2 linked regions of the Schizosaccharomyces pombe genome follow. The gene in region 1 interacts genetically with each later gene. Each region holds a gene or a part of one and is shown on either strand. Other genes may lie near its edges.

Region 1 (5,471 bases):
ACGTTATTAATCTTCATACCAATTTACAAGAATCTAGTGAGACTTTAGCAATTGGAGAAATTCCTTTTGATAAGTTTCGGCGGTACATAAACTATTGTAGACAGTAAGTATACCAAATTTAATATTAGTTACTAATGGATTTAGCAAATGTGCACCTAATCTTGATGCAGAGGCAGCTGAAAAGCTATCTAGTCAATTTGTCGCAATTCGAAAACGTGTTCATCAGTCAGAGCAGGACAGTAACTCGCGTTCTACCATTCCAATCACTGTTCGTCAATTAGAGGCAATCATACGAATTACTGAATCCCTTGCAAAAATGTCATTATCACCTATTGCTTCTGAAGCTCACGCTACTGAAGCGATTCGACTGTTTTTGACCAGTACACTTGCTGCTGCTACACAAAGTTCGCCTGAAGTTACTGAGGAAGTAAAAAAAATTGAAGCCAGCTTAAGAAAAAGGTTACCTATAGGGTTTCAGGCGAGTTACCGTATGCTTATACGAGAATACGTAAATGGGGTATGTTTATTGATTAAATCTAAGTCTAACATAATTTTAGCATGGATATTCACAACACGCGTTAGAAATGGCTTTACAAATTCTTTCGTCGAAGGAAACAATTCAACTCAGAAATGGCGGACAAACGGTGTATCGATCAGGAGTATGAAATTTAGCGAGCGTACTATTTATTAGATGATATAATTTACAAATATAATACATGATCGTGATAAGAAATATCAGTCTCGAGAAACTGCAATACTGCCACGTGCGTTGTCTATGGAAAATCCGTGACGACGTTGATAATCTTCTTCTTCTTTCAGATTATTTTTTTCAGAAGGAAGAAGGATGGCTCGATCAACAGCCCTGGGTAAACCTCTATGTCTACCGCGCAGTTCAAGTGCTATAATAACTAGTTTACTTATAGTAGTAAATCTTGCTGAAAGTGAACAATTTGAGGAGCTTAATCCAGTACTAAGTCCCACCGTACCGTAAGCAGAGACTACTTCAAAAAGGACAGTAAAAATACTGAAATCGGTATCTAGAGGATTGGAGATTTTACCTCCTTCACAAATGCATATGATGAATAGCCCTAGAAAAATATACCATAAATCGTAACTTAATTGTTCAGTAAGGTGATCTTTTAAGAAAGATTTCCCCTCATCATCTTCAGTTCTGTAAACACCCAAAGATCGCTCCTCATAAACATTGGTATTTCTCATGTTGATAGCAACTGGATAAACAGAAATATACATCATAACCATGTAACTGACCAGTACTGCTGGGTGAAGTTCACTAATTGATACACTCGTGAATCCTGCGGTTCTTGTACAAACTGATTGAAATATTGCATTTACAACCCTAATACCTTTAGGAAGGCTAGCGACTGCTTTACTTCCAGTATCTAAGACCATGAACAATACCAGATCAATGACATTAAGCAGCAGCAAAACAAAAAACAAGACCCAGGTTGCTCCAGATGGAAACAATAAAGTGAAACATCGTCGAGGATGATCAAGGAGAAATGCCATAGCTTCTTTCTTCTCAAAACTAAAAGGGTATAGCTTATACGTTGTCCAAATGAATGTTCTAAAAAAACAAGGGAATCCCGTGTTACCTGCGATAATGAATAAAGATGAAATCAACAAAAGAAAAATGTTTCGATTCATTGGCACAAAAGACGATGGTATTAAAGAAAACCCCAAATCATTAAATGAAGAAGCAGACGAGAATAACGCCCACCACCCACGACGTAAGTCATAAGAATCTATTACCTCTCGCGATCCCACTGCCGTATAAGCAAAAACAATGAAGGTCACAAAGGCAGCAATATTAAAAATGATAAAATAAAGGGTAACCATGGAGCAGACGCATTTCAAAGCTCTATATTCAATTCCACCCAGCTCGTCCCGCTGTTCTTTAGACAAAGCAACGAAAGCAGAATTACGATCGACAGTAGGATTATACGACAAATAGGGAAGTGACATAGTAGTGTGTCTTGATGAAATAGAAGGCTCACGTTTTTTAGCAAAGGCAGAAGAAAGGACTCGTTCAAGAGTCAAGTTTCGTCGGTTAGAAGTGAATGACTTTGTCCAACGTATTGGACGATGAAGTCCTCGCGAAAATCTGGAACGTAAAGATTTTTTATAAAAACGACTTTTTTTTCTAAGTTTAAGATTACGTTCACGCTCTATGGTGGGCTTATTAAGTCCGGTGAAAGCAATATGCATGTCAACTGTCGATGGTTCAGTGTCTTTAGATAGGGAGGAAGAAGACAGAGACGACCTTACTATTCCGTCTATTGTATTGGCAGGCCTTAAACCACCTTCTGGGAAAAGATTGTCGTCCCCAGTGAGAGTAAATGAATCCCTCGATACAACCAAATTAGTATCAGAATAACTATAAGCCATAGGGAGAGATTCCTGAACTAAGGCGCCTTCAGATAAAGTTTCACGGGTGTCGTCAGCCTCTAAAGGATTAACGGAGGAAATAAAAGAGCTTTGTCTACGAAGTCGGGGATGAAGGTCATCCATTTCATACATTTGCATCGAGGCTGAATGCGAACTACCAAAATCGTAATTTTTATTTTCAATGGAAGGTTCATAGTCATGAAAAGTCATGTTGTGACTTTCCAAATCCATGTCTAGCGTATCAGACTTTTTTGGGAGATACTTTCCAAAATACTCGTCTTTAGATATATCTGCCTTGGGAGAAGGGGGGTTGTCAGGAAAGTACGGATTGTTCGTACTGTCATGCGTGTCAAATCTCGAGAAGTTTTTTAGAGACGTTGGACTCCTTAGTGAATGTAGGTATGGTAACATTACACGAATTTTTCTACCACGAACACCCTGTTCTTCGTCATCCTCGCTTTTTTTCATTAAGCTTTTACGGAGCTTTCTCTGAAATTTTCGAGTACGATTTTGACGAACAACGTCTTTAAATTTTCGTCGAAACCAATACAGCCGGATGAAGGAAATACTTCCGTGCATCCATATAGGAACCGTAATAGCAGTAAATCCATACAGGATAAACTGCTGCCAGATAGATAAAGAATTTAAGTCAACACTGTTAAGGCCTGTTTGGGTAGTTGCGCTGCTAGCTAAGAATAAAGCATCGATATACTTGATTTTCGTGGTGGTCCCTCCGGTAAAAAGTAGGATAGAGGCAATGATAGTTAAGGATATAATGTAAATATAATGAATTGCCAAGAATCCAAAAGTTGGTATCACCCACTTGAACCATCTTTGAATGTAATTTAGGACCATTTATTTTAGTCAATACTTCCAGCCAAACCCACCAACAACAGAACAAGAAACAGAGAAATTGGTTTGAAGTTAACGGAAATCCTTAACTATGGACAAGATAAGAAGCAATTAGTTTTGAAATCTACGGGTAAAAGCGATACTGATGAGGAAACCACTAAATTTCTAAAAGGGAATTATGACAAATGACAAACGACATTTTTACCCAATCTTTGACGATTCCTTTCAACAATACTTGAGGATTCCTCTCTTATAATACAACGTAAAATCGCGTCTTCTTTCCCGTAGAAGGTAGTTTCTAAGCGGTTCAAAGTTTCAGCCTATACTTCGACCATGTTGTACGCTTTGGGCAGTGAAGTGAGATTGTTGACGATCTTTAACATAAATCGTTGTTGTTCCGTAAAAAATGTTAACAAGATTTAGAGTGTTCAAGTACTTTTTACAGGTACCGTATTTAAATTAAGGAAAGTCCAAAAGTTCGCATAACAACGCATAATATGAATTGATGTAGCCTAACAAAATGCACTATCTATGAATTTTACGAACTAGCAAAATTTCTAGCTTTGAACAGTTTATCTTCCGTAAACATTTGAAAACCAGGCGAAAAGCAGGCATTTTAAAGCTTTTCGCTCCTTGCTTGCATAATTTCTTTTCAAGCGTTTCGTTCTTCTTGCACAGCCTTTGCTAAACGGATTTTCAGTAGAAAAATGACAGAAGTTTCAAAGGCAGCAGCTTTTGATCGAACTCAGTTCGAGGAGTTAATGAAGAAGAGATTCTTCTTCTCTCCTTCTTTTCAAATCTATGGTGGAATTAGTGGATTGTATGATTATGGCCCACCAGGTAGTGCACTTCAATCTAATCTGGTTGATATTTGGCGAAAGCACTTTGTTATCGAAGAAAGCATGCTGGAGGTTGATTGCTCCATGCTTACTCCTCATGAAGTTTTGAAGACTAGTGGGCATGTTGATAAGTTTGCAGATTGGATGTGTAAGGACCCTGCTACCGGTGAAATCTTTCGTGCCGACCACTTGGTTGAAGAGGTTTTGGAAGCCCGTTTGAAGGGTGACAAGGAAGCTCGTGGGCAGAATTCCAATGACCAGCCTGAAGAATCTGATGACAAGAAGAAGCGTAAGAAGAAGGTAAAGGAAATTCGTGCGACTCGTCTGGATGACAAGACTGTTGAGGAATACGAGTTTATTCTTGCCCAAATTGACAACTATGATGGAGATCAATTAGGTGAGCTCATGAAGAAGTATGACATTCGTAACCCTGCAACCAACGGTGAGCTTGAAACCCCTCGTCAGTTCAACTTAATGTTTGAAACTCAAATTGGTCCCAGTGGTGGTCTGAAAGGTTACCTCCGACCTGAAACTGCCCAAGGACAATTTTTAAACTTTAGCCGTTTATTGGAGTTTAATAACGGCAAAGTTCCCTTTGCCAGTGCTATGGTTGGTAAAGCCTTCCGTAATGAGATTTCTCCTCGGAGTGGCCTGCTTCGTGTTCGTGAGTTTTTGATGGCCGAAGTCGAACACTTTGTCGATCCTAAAAACAAAGAGCATGATAGATTTGACGAGGTTTCTCATATGCCCCTTCGTTTGTTGCCCCGTGGTGTCCAATTAGAAGGAAAGACTGACATTTTGGAAATGCCCATAGGTGATGCTGTCAAGAAAGGAATTGTTGATAACACTACATTAGGTTATTTTATGGCCCGTATCAGCTTATTCTTGGAGAAAATTGGTATTGATATGAACCGTGTTCGTTTTAGGCAACATATGAGCAATGAAATGGCTCATTATGCTTGCGATTGCTGGGATGCCGAAATTCAATGCTCTTACGGCTGGATCGAGTGTGTAGGTTGCGCTGATCGTAGTGCCTATGATCTTAGCGTTCACAGTAAAGCTACCAAGACTCCTTTAGTAGTTCAAGAGGCTCTTCCTGAACCTGTTGTTGTTGAACAATTCGAGGTTGAAGTTAATCGCAAAAAATTTGGTCCACGTTTCAAACGTGATGCCAAGGCTGTTGAGGAAGCTATGATTTCGTGGCCGGAATCGGAAAAAGTTGAAAAAAGTGCTCAACTTGTTGCTGAAGGTAAAATTATTGTTAATGTTAATGGTGTTGAGCATACAGTAGAATCTGATCTCGTCACAATTGAGAAGAGAAAGCATACTGAACACATTCGTACTTATACTCCTAATGTTATCGAGCCATCCTTT
Region 2 (5,133 bases), 2.3 Mb from region 1:
TTTTCTATTATTTTTCTTTATTTTTTACTCTCACATAATGAATTGTTTACTTCTAGGAAGAGGATTCTTGCACAGGTTTCACCCATTTCGCCCAGTCTTGTGTGAAGATTCGGCAAGTGCTGCAACTACTATCACCTCTCAATTTAAGCTGAATTACCGTCAAATCTTTATTGGAAGCTCTCTTGGTTTAGCAGCCGGATTTGCTTTAGGAAAATTGGGCCGTTTATTCATCGTTGCCTGCTCCGCCGTTTTCGCTACCATTGCTGTAAGTGCTTAAGTTTGATTCTTTATTTATATTTAGAGGTTTTAAAAACCTTGTGTTTCGCACTGAAAATCGTATTTATCTTTCATAATACTAACACAATACGTTTATTAGTATATTAACAGTAAAGGTCTGATCCGAATTAATTGGCCCCAGCTGCAGCAACAAGTTATAGGTCCTACGGAGCAGTATACTGGATTTCATTTCCCAAGTTCAGGTAGGTTTAATACTCAATCAACATTTCCTACCATTCGTAATTGGATCTGTACAAACCCCAATTTCAAGCTGAGCTTCTTTTCAGCTATGTATGTTGGATTTGTGTCATCATAAAAGTGGCTGAATTTCACCACAACACATTTCGATTTTGATACATTGTTCAGCCCTCGCACTCCTCTCAATTCCTATGATTCCTTTGAACCCCAACGTTCGTTCTATACTACCAATAGTGAAACATTTTGCTCACGCTCCTGTTCAGAAGCTTACTTTTCATATGCATCTATCTAACTATAATTGAGTTTTCATTCATTAACCAATCAACACGATTTTCTTTGTTTTGGTACCGAATTTAATTATTAAGTAGCTGCACACACTAATGTCTTAGACAGTGGAAGTAACTCAGATATGTCAGCTCCGTGCTCATAACTTTCTAGGTTTAGTTAAAAAGTGACTTACTAGTGCATGCAACAAATCACAGACACCACGCTCACTAGTGTACATATAAAAATGATAACGAACGTAATATAAAGCTTTAATGTAAGAATTCTTTAAAAATATATACATATACCCAAAATATGTAGTTTAAACACCAACTCTCTCCCTTTCCTCTTGGCAATTGGAGTGCCGGTGTTGAAACCACATGAGGTGTAATAAAGTTAAAATAGACAAACACAAGCGATTGTTGAATAGCGCTTGGCATTGTGTCAAACTATGAATAATTTGTGACGCGTTTCACGATCAAACCCATCCCTTCGCCCTTCTAGAGTGAATGCAATAAAAAAACAAAAGTCTTTCAATACAATTAAATTATGCATGTAAACATAGTTTAATCAAGACAGTAACAATAGTAAATCCTCATTTTCGAACAGCTTAGAAAGCTTCGAATGTCATGATTTGTAACTTTTAAATCCTACTCTCTACTTACAGACCAGCATTGCCAGCTTCACAAAGAGTGATGGAACGAACCCATTCACTCTTCATTATCTGTTTTGCTGTCAGGCGGTAAGTTGGGTTGGGATGAAGAATGTTGTACAAAGTGTTTCTGCATCTTGAACGTTCAAGCATTTCGATAGGTTCATAACCGCTCTCGTTTTTCCTATCCATCAGATATCTGGAGTAATACTCGTCTTCACTCTTTTTGGCAACGCGCCAAAGATGTCGACCGGTACGCATGGCCATATAGATAACACCACAAGCCCAGACATCTACTGCGCGTGGATCAAATTCACTTTCTGTATATTCTTCTGGAGCAATGTAGGGTGCGGATCCACAGAGGCCGCATGTCATGTGAGCCTCCTTCTCCCAGGCCATTCTAAAGCATTCACCATTACCGAAATCAGTGATTTTTAGACTTCCGCTAACGGTCAATAACAAATTTTCCGGCTTTAAATCACGATGAGCCACACCCATATCATGCAAATAATCAACACCACGCATCAATTGTTTGAAAAAACAATCAGCTTCCATAGGCTCTAGACGACCGGCGGCCATGATAAGCGTATACAAATCGCCTCCCGAACAAAGCTCCATCACTTCACAATAGTCACCCTTGCCGTCCTGGATCAGGTCTAATGTATGAATCACGTTTGGATGTCGCAATGAAGAAGAAATACAAAACTCAGATGTTAAGCGCTTTGTATACTTCTTTTGAGACTCGGCAGGCTTTCGACGGAACTCCTTAACGGCATACAATGTCTCAGAGCCGGAGTTTTGAGGATCAACTTTATGTGCGATTCTAACAACGCCAAAAGCGCCACGACCAATAACCTCCTGACAGCGACCATATTTCTCTACAAAACTTGCAGAAACTTTAGCGGGATCTTTTTTGTCAGCAAGCTTTTCTTGACCATATCCGTTGATCCATGATTGAACAAGACTGAGTTGATGCTGTGCATCAGCAGCTTCTTTAGCTATCCTCTCTTCCTCACGCTTTTTACTGTTACCGGCAAGGAAGTCTTTTAACATCTTACCAAGCTTCTCTTGCCGACGAGCAGGCCTTAATTGATGCGTATGACTTGCATCGTCATAAACAGTAAAGCGAGACCACTTCGCAGAGGAAGGATTTGAAGTAGATGAACTATTAGCAGCACCACCTGTTTCACTACCACCTGTGCTATTCGTTTCCTCAGTATTTGCAACAGCTGCGCCTCGACCAGTTCGACTGTTTTGGCGAGATACAGAGTTTTGTGAAAAAATACGTTGAAGACGAGTGACTGGATTTCTAGATGGTGTTGCTGTAGTGGAAACAGGTGCTGGGCCGTTGGAAGGCGTAGAAGGATTAGGAGAGGCAGCTACAGATAGTACGTGAACGTTAGCTGCCGCTGGATTAGAGACGACACCAGCTTTGTGAGGTGTAGTGGTAGCAGTTGAGTTTGCTCGGGATACAGAAGCTGAAGGAGGAACGGACCCAGAGGGCAACTCTGCATGGTGCGCTGCTGGATTAGGAGAGACGGCTGCTGGTTTGTTTGAAGTAGAGCTAACATGGCGAGATGGGTTATTGCTAGGAGGTGGCATTGCAGTGGTTTGATTAGGTTTGGATGAAACGACAGGTTTAGATAAGGGCTGCTGAGATTGCAGGCTTACATTGGAAGAAGAGGCCACTGCATCTATCGATGCAGGAGTTTGCTGCACAGAGTTAAGGGAAGGACGGACATTTTGTTTTAAAGCACTTGGAGAAGCAGCTTCTTTGCCATTTGGAGTGCTTGGAGGTTGCTGAGATGATGGCGGAGGAGGTTCTGTCGTTTCACGAGCTTTAGGGGTTGACTTCAGCGACCCAAGCCCTAAGGAAGCAAATTTGCTTGAAATTTCGTGGAGTTTGTCTTTTTCACCCATTTTTTAGCTGATGAAAAATTTTTTTCACCTAAATATGAATGCACGACTCGTTTCGCGAACAAACTTGGGTTACGGAGGATTCTCGGTTAGTCTCCTTTAAAAATAGAGATATAAATCTCTTAGAGACTATTAAGAAATAGAATACAGGCAGTTTAGAGCCCTAAAAGCCGCCAACTACTGACTTTCTCTATTTGCCAATACTTTTCGGTATGTTGCTAACGGATGACCCCATTCACCCAACCTTCTCACTAAAGCCTTCTGCTTAATACACTGCAACGAACCCTTTAATATGAGAATTACAGCCACGTTAATAGGTAACTCTGTTGAGGAACGTAGCCACAACCTTATTAAGATGTCAACGGAAGATGCGTTATTATGAGCAAACGTTGGGGGCTACGAGATAAAAGAATACAATCGTCAGCTTTGCTATCAAAGATAAAGAGTGGAAGTGCATAAAATTGCTATACCAAGATTGTGTAAAAAATGCTTTAATGCATTGTGTAATCAATAACAAAACAAAATATAATACGCTAAAGTGTTTACTGTGAAAAATTTTCGCAAACAAATAATAAAAATAGTGCAAAAAAATTTAAAGAAAACACAATCCAAAATAGCGTGTACCATAAATGTCAGAATTTAGTACAACTTAGTAATTAAGGTGAAGCCAGTCGGTAAAGCAAGGAAATAAACATTTAATAATGCTTTGTTACAAGACAGATGATAATCTTCTATCTTAAAATAAATTGTGTTAATTAATTTCTTTCATCTTCTTCTTTTTTTTTTTTGGGGTCGCATATTGTTGTTTCTTGCTACGACCCCGTAGTCAATAGTATGTACTCATTTTGACATATAATCGAGACATTCATTGTATTTTGGTCGTAATTTTATTTTCTAAAAAAGTTCTATTGCTATCCCAGGAAAATGTAAAGTTACAAAAAAATATTTGTCTTTTACCAAGGGTTTTTTTTCGTTTTCGTACACGGGAAGGGAACAATTCGATTCAAACAACATACATCTTATTTACAAAATCCATCAAACGCACAATAATGACGGTATAATCCGGAACAGTAGAAGATATCTTATTTATTTAATCCAACTAACCTTCACCCAATTAATTCTTTCCCTTCTTGGAGGTAGAATTTTTGGGTAATTCCTTGGTGAATGGAAGGAAAGTTTTACCTCCCATATAAGGTTGCAACACCTTAGGTACATTTACACCATCAGGAGTTTGGTAGTTTTCAAGTATACAGCAAAGTGCCCGCTCAGTAGCACAGAGAGTAGAGTTAAGGCAGTGAACATACTTCTTTTCACGATCGCCCATCTTCTTTACACCACAACGAATCTCCAAGTTACGAGATTGATAATCGGTACAGTTTGAGCAAGAAACAAGCTCTTTGTATTCTCCTTGGAAAGGGAACCAAGCTTCCAAATCATACTTCTTGGCAGCAGCATTGTTCAAAGCACCAGAAACAATGGCAACGATACGATAAGGCAATTCTAAAGACTTATAAAAGTCCTCAGCATGGTTGATCATCTCGGTGAAAGCTTCCCATGACTTTTCAGGATCGGTAAGAACAAATTGTTCAATCTTCTCGAAGGCATGAACGCGGAAAATACCCCAAGCATCACGTCCATGGGACCCTGCTTCACGACGATAACAAGTACTGTATCCAGCGTACTTAAGAGGGAGCTGTTCAGAAGGCTTTTCAAACCATTCACCGCTATGGTAGGCAGAAATAGGTTGTTCGGAGGTAGCGATCAAATAGCGTTCCTCATCACCATCAATTACTTTGTAAAGCTCTTCATCGAATTGCTCTAACTGA

Evidence for each region.
Region 2: of trk1 (region 1) and hal4, extra expression of one rescues a mutant of the other (dosage rescue), as found in Schizosaccharomyces pombe (one study listed by BioGRID).

The regions. Positions count from the first base shown.
Region 1 is NC_003424.3:2,817,521-2,822,991, forward strand, and holds trk1 (plasma membrane potassium ion transmembrane transporter Trk1), read right to left. Parts: upstream 3,552-5,471; 5' UTR 3,262-3,551; coding exon 736-3,261; 3' UTR 666-735; coding exon of another isoform or gene 558-665; 3' UTR 518-557; downstream 1-517. Other genes in the region: MCM complex subunit Mcm5, read left to right, coding at 1-103, 145-517, 558-665; glycine--tRNA (Gly) ligase Grs1, read left to right, coding at 3,966-5,471. UniProt on the Schizosaccharomyces pombe protein: Together with TRK2, defines the major, high-affinity potassium influx transport system. Involved in maintenance of the proper sodium/potassium ratio in the cell and in regulating the plasma membrane potential.
Region 2 is NC_003424.3:5,113,105-5,118,237, forward strand, and holds hal4 (serine/threonine protein kinase Hal4), read right to left. Parts: upstream 3,531-5,133; 5' UTR 3,311-3,530; coding exon 1,400-3,310; 3' UTR 809-1,399; downstream 1-808. Other genes in the region: fun14 (integral mitochondrial outer membrane (MOM) protein), read left to right, coding at 38-265, 377-592; serine--tRNA (Ser) ligase Srs1, read right to left, coding at 4,422-5,133. UniProt on the Schizosaccharomyces pombe protein: Promotes K(+) uptake, by the potassium transporter trk1-trk2, which leads to the subsequent cellular resistance to toxic cations such as Na(+), Li(+) and Ca(2+).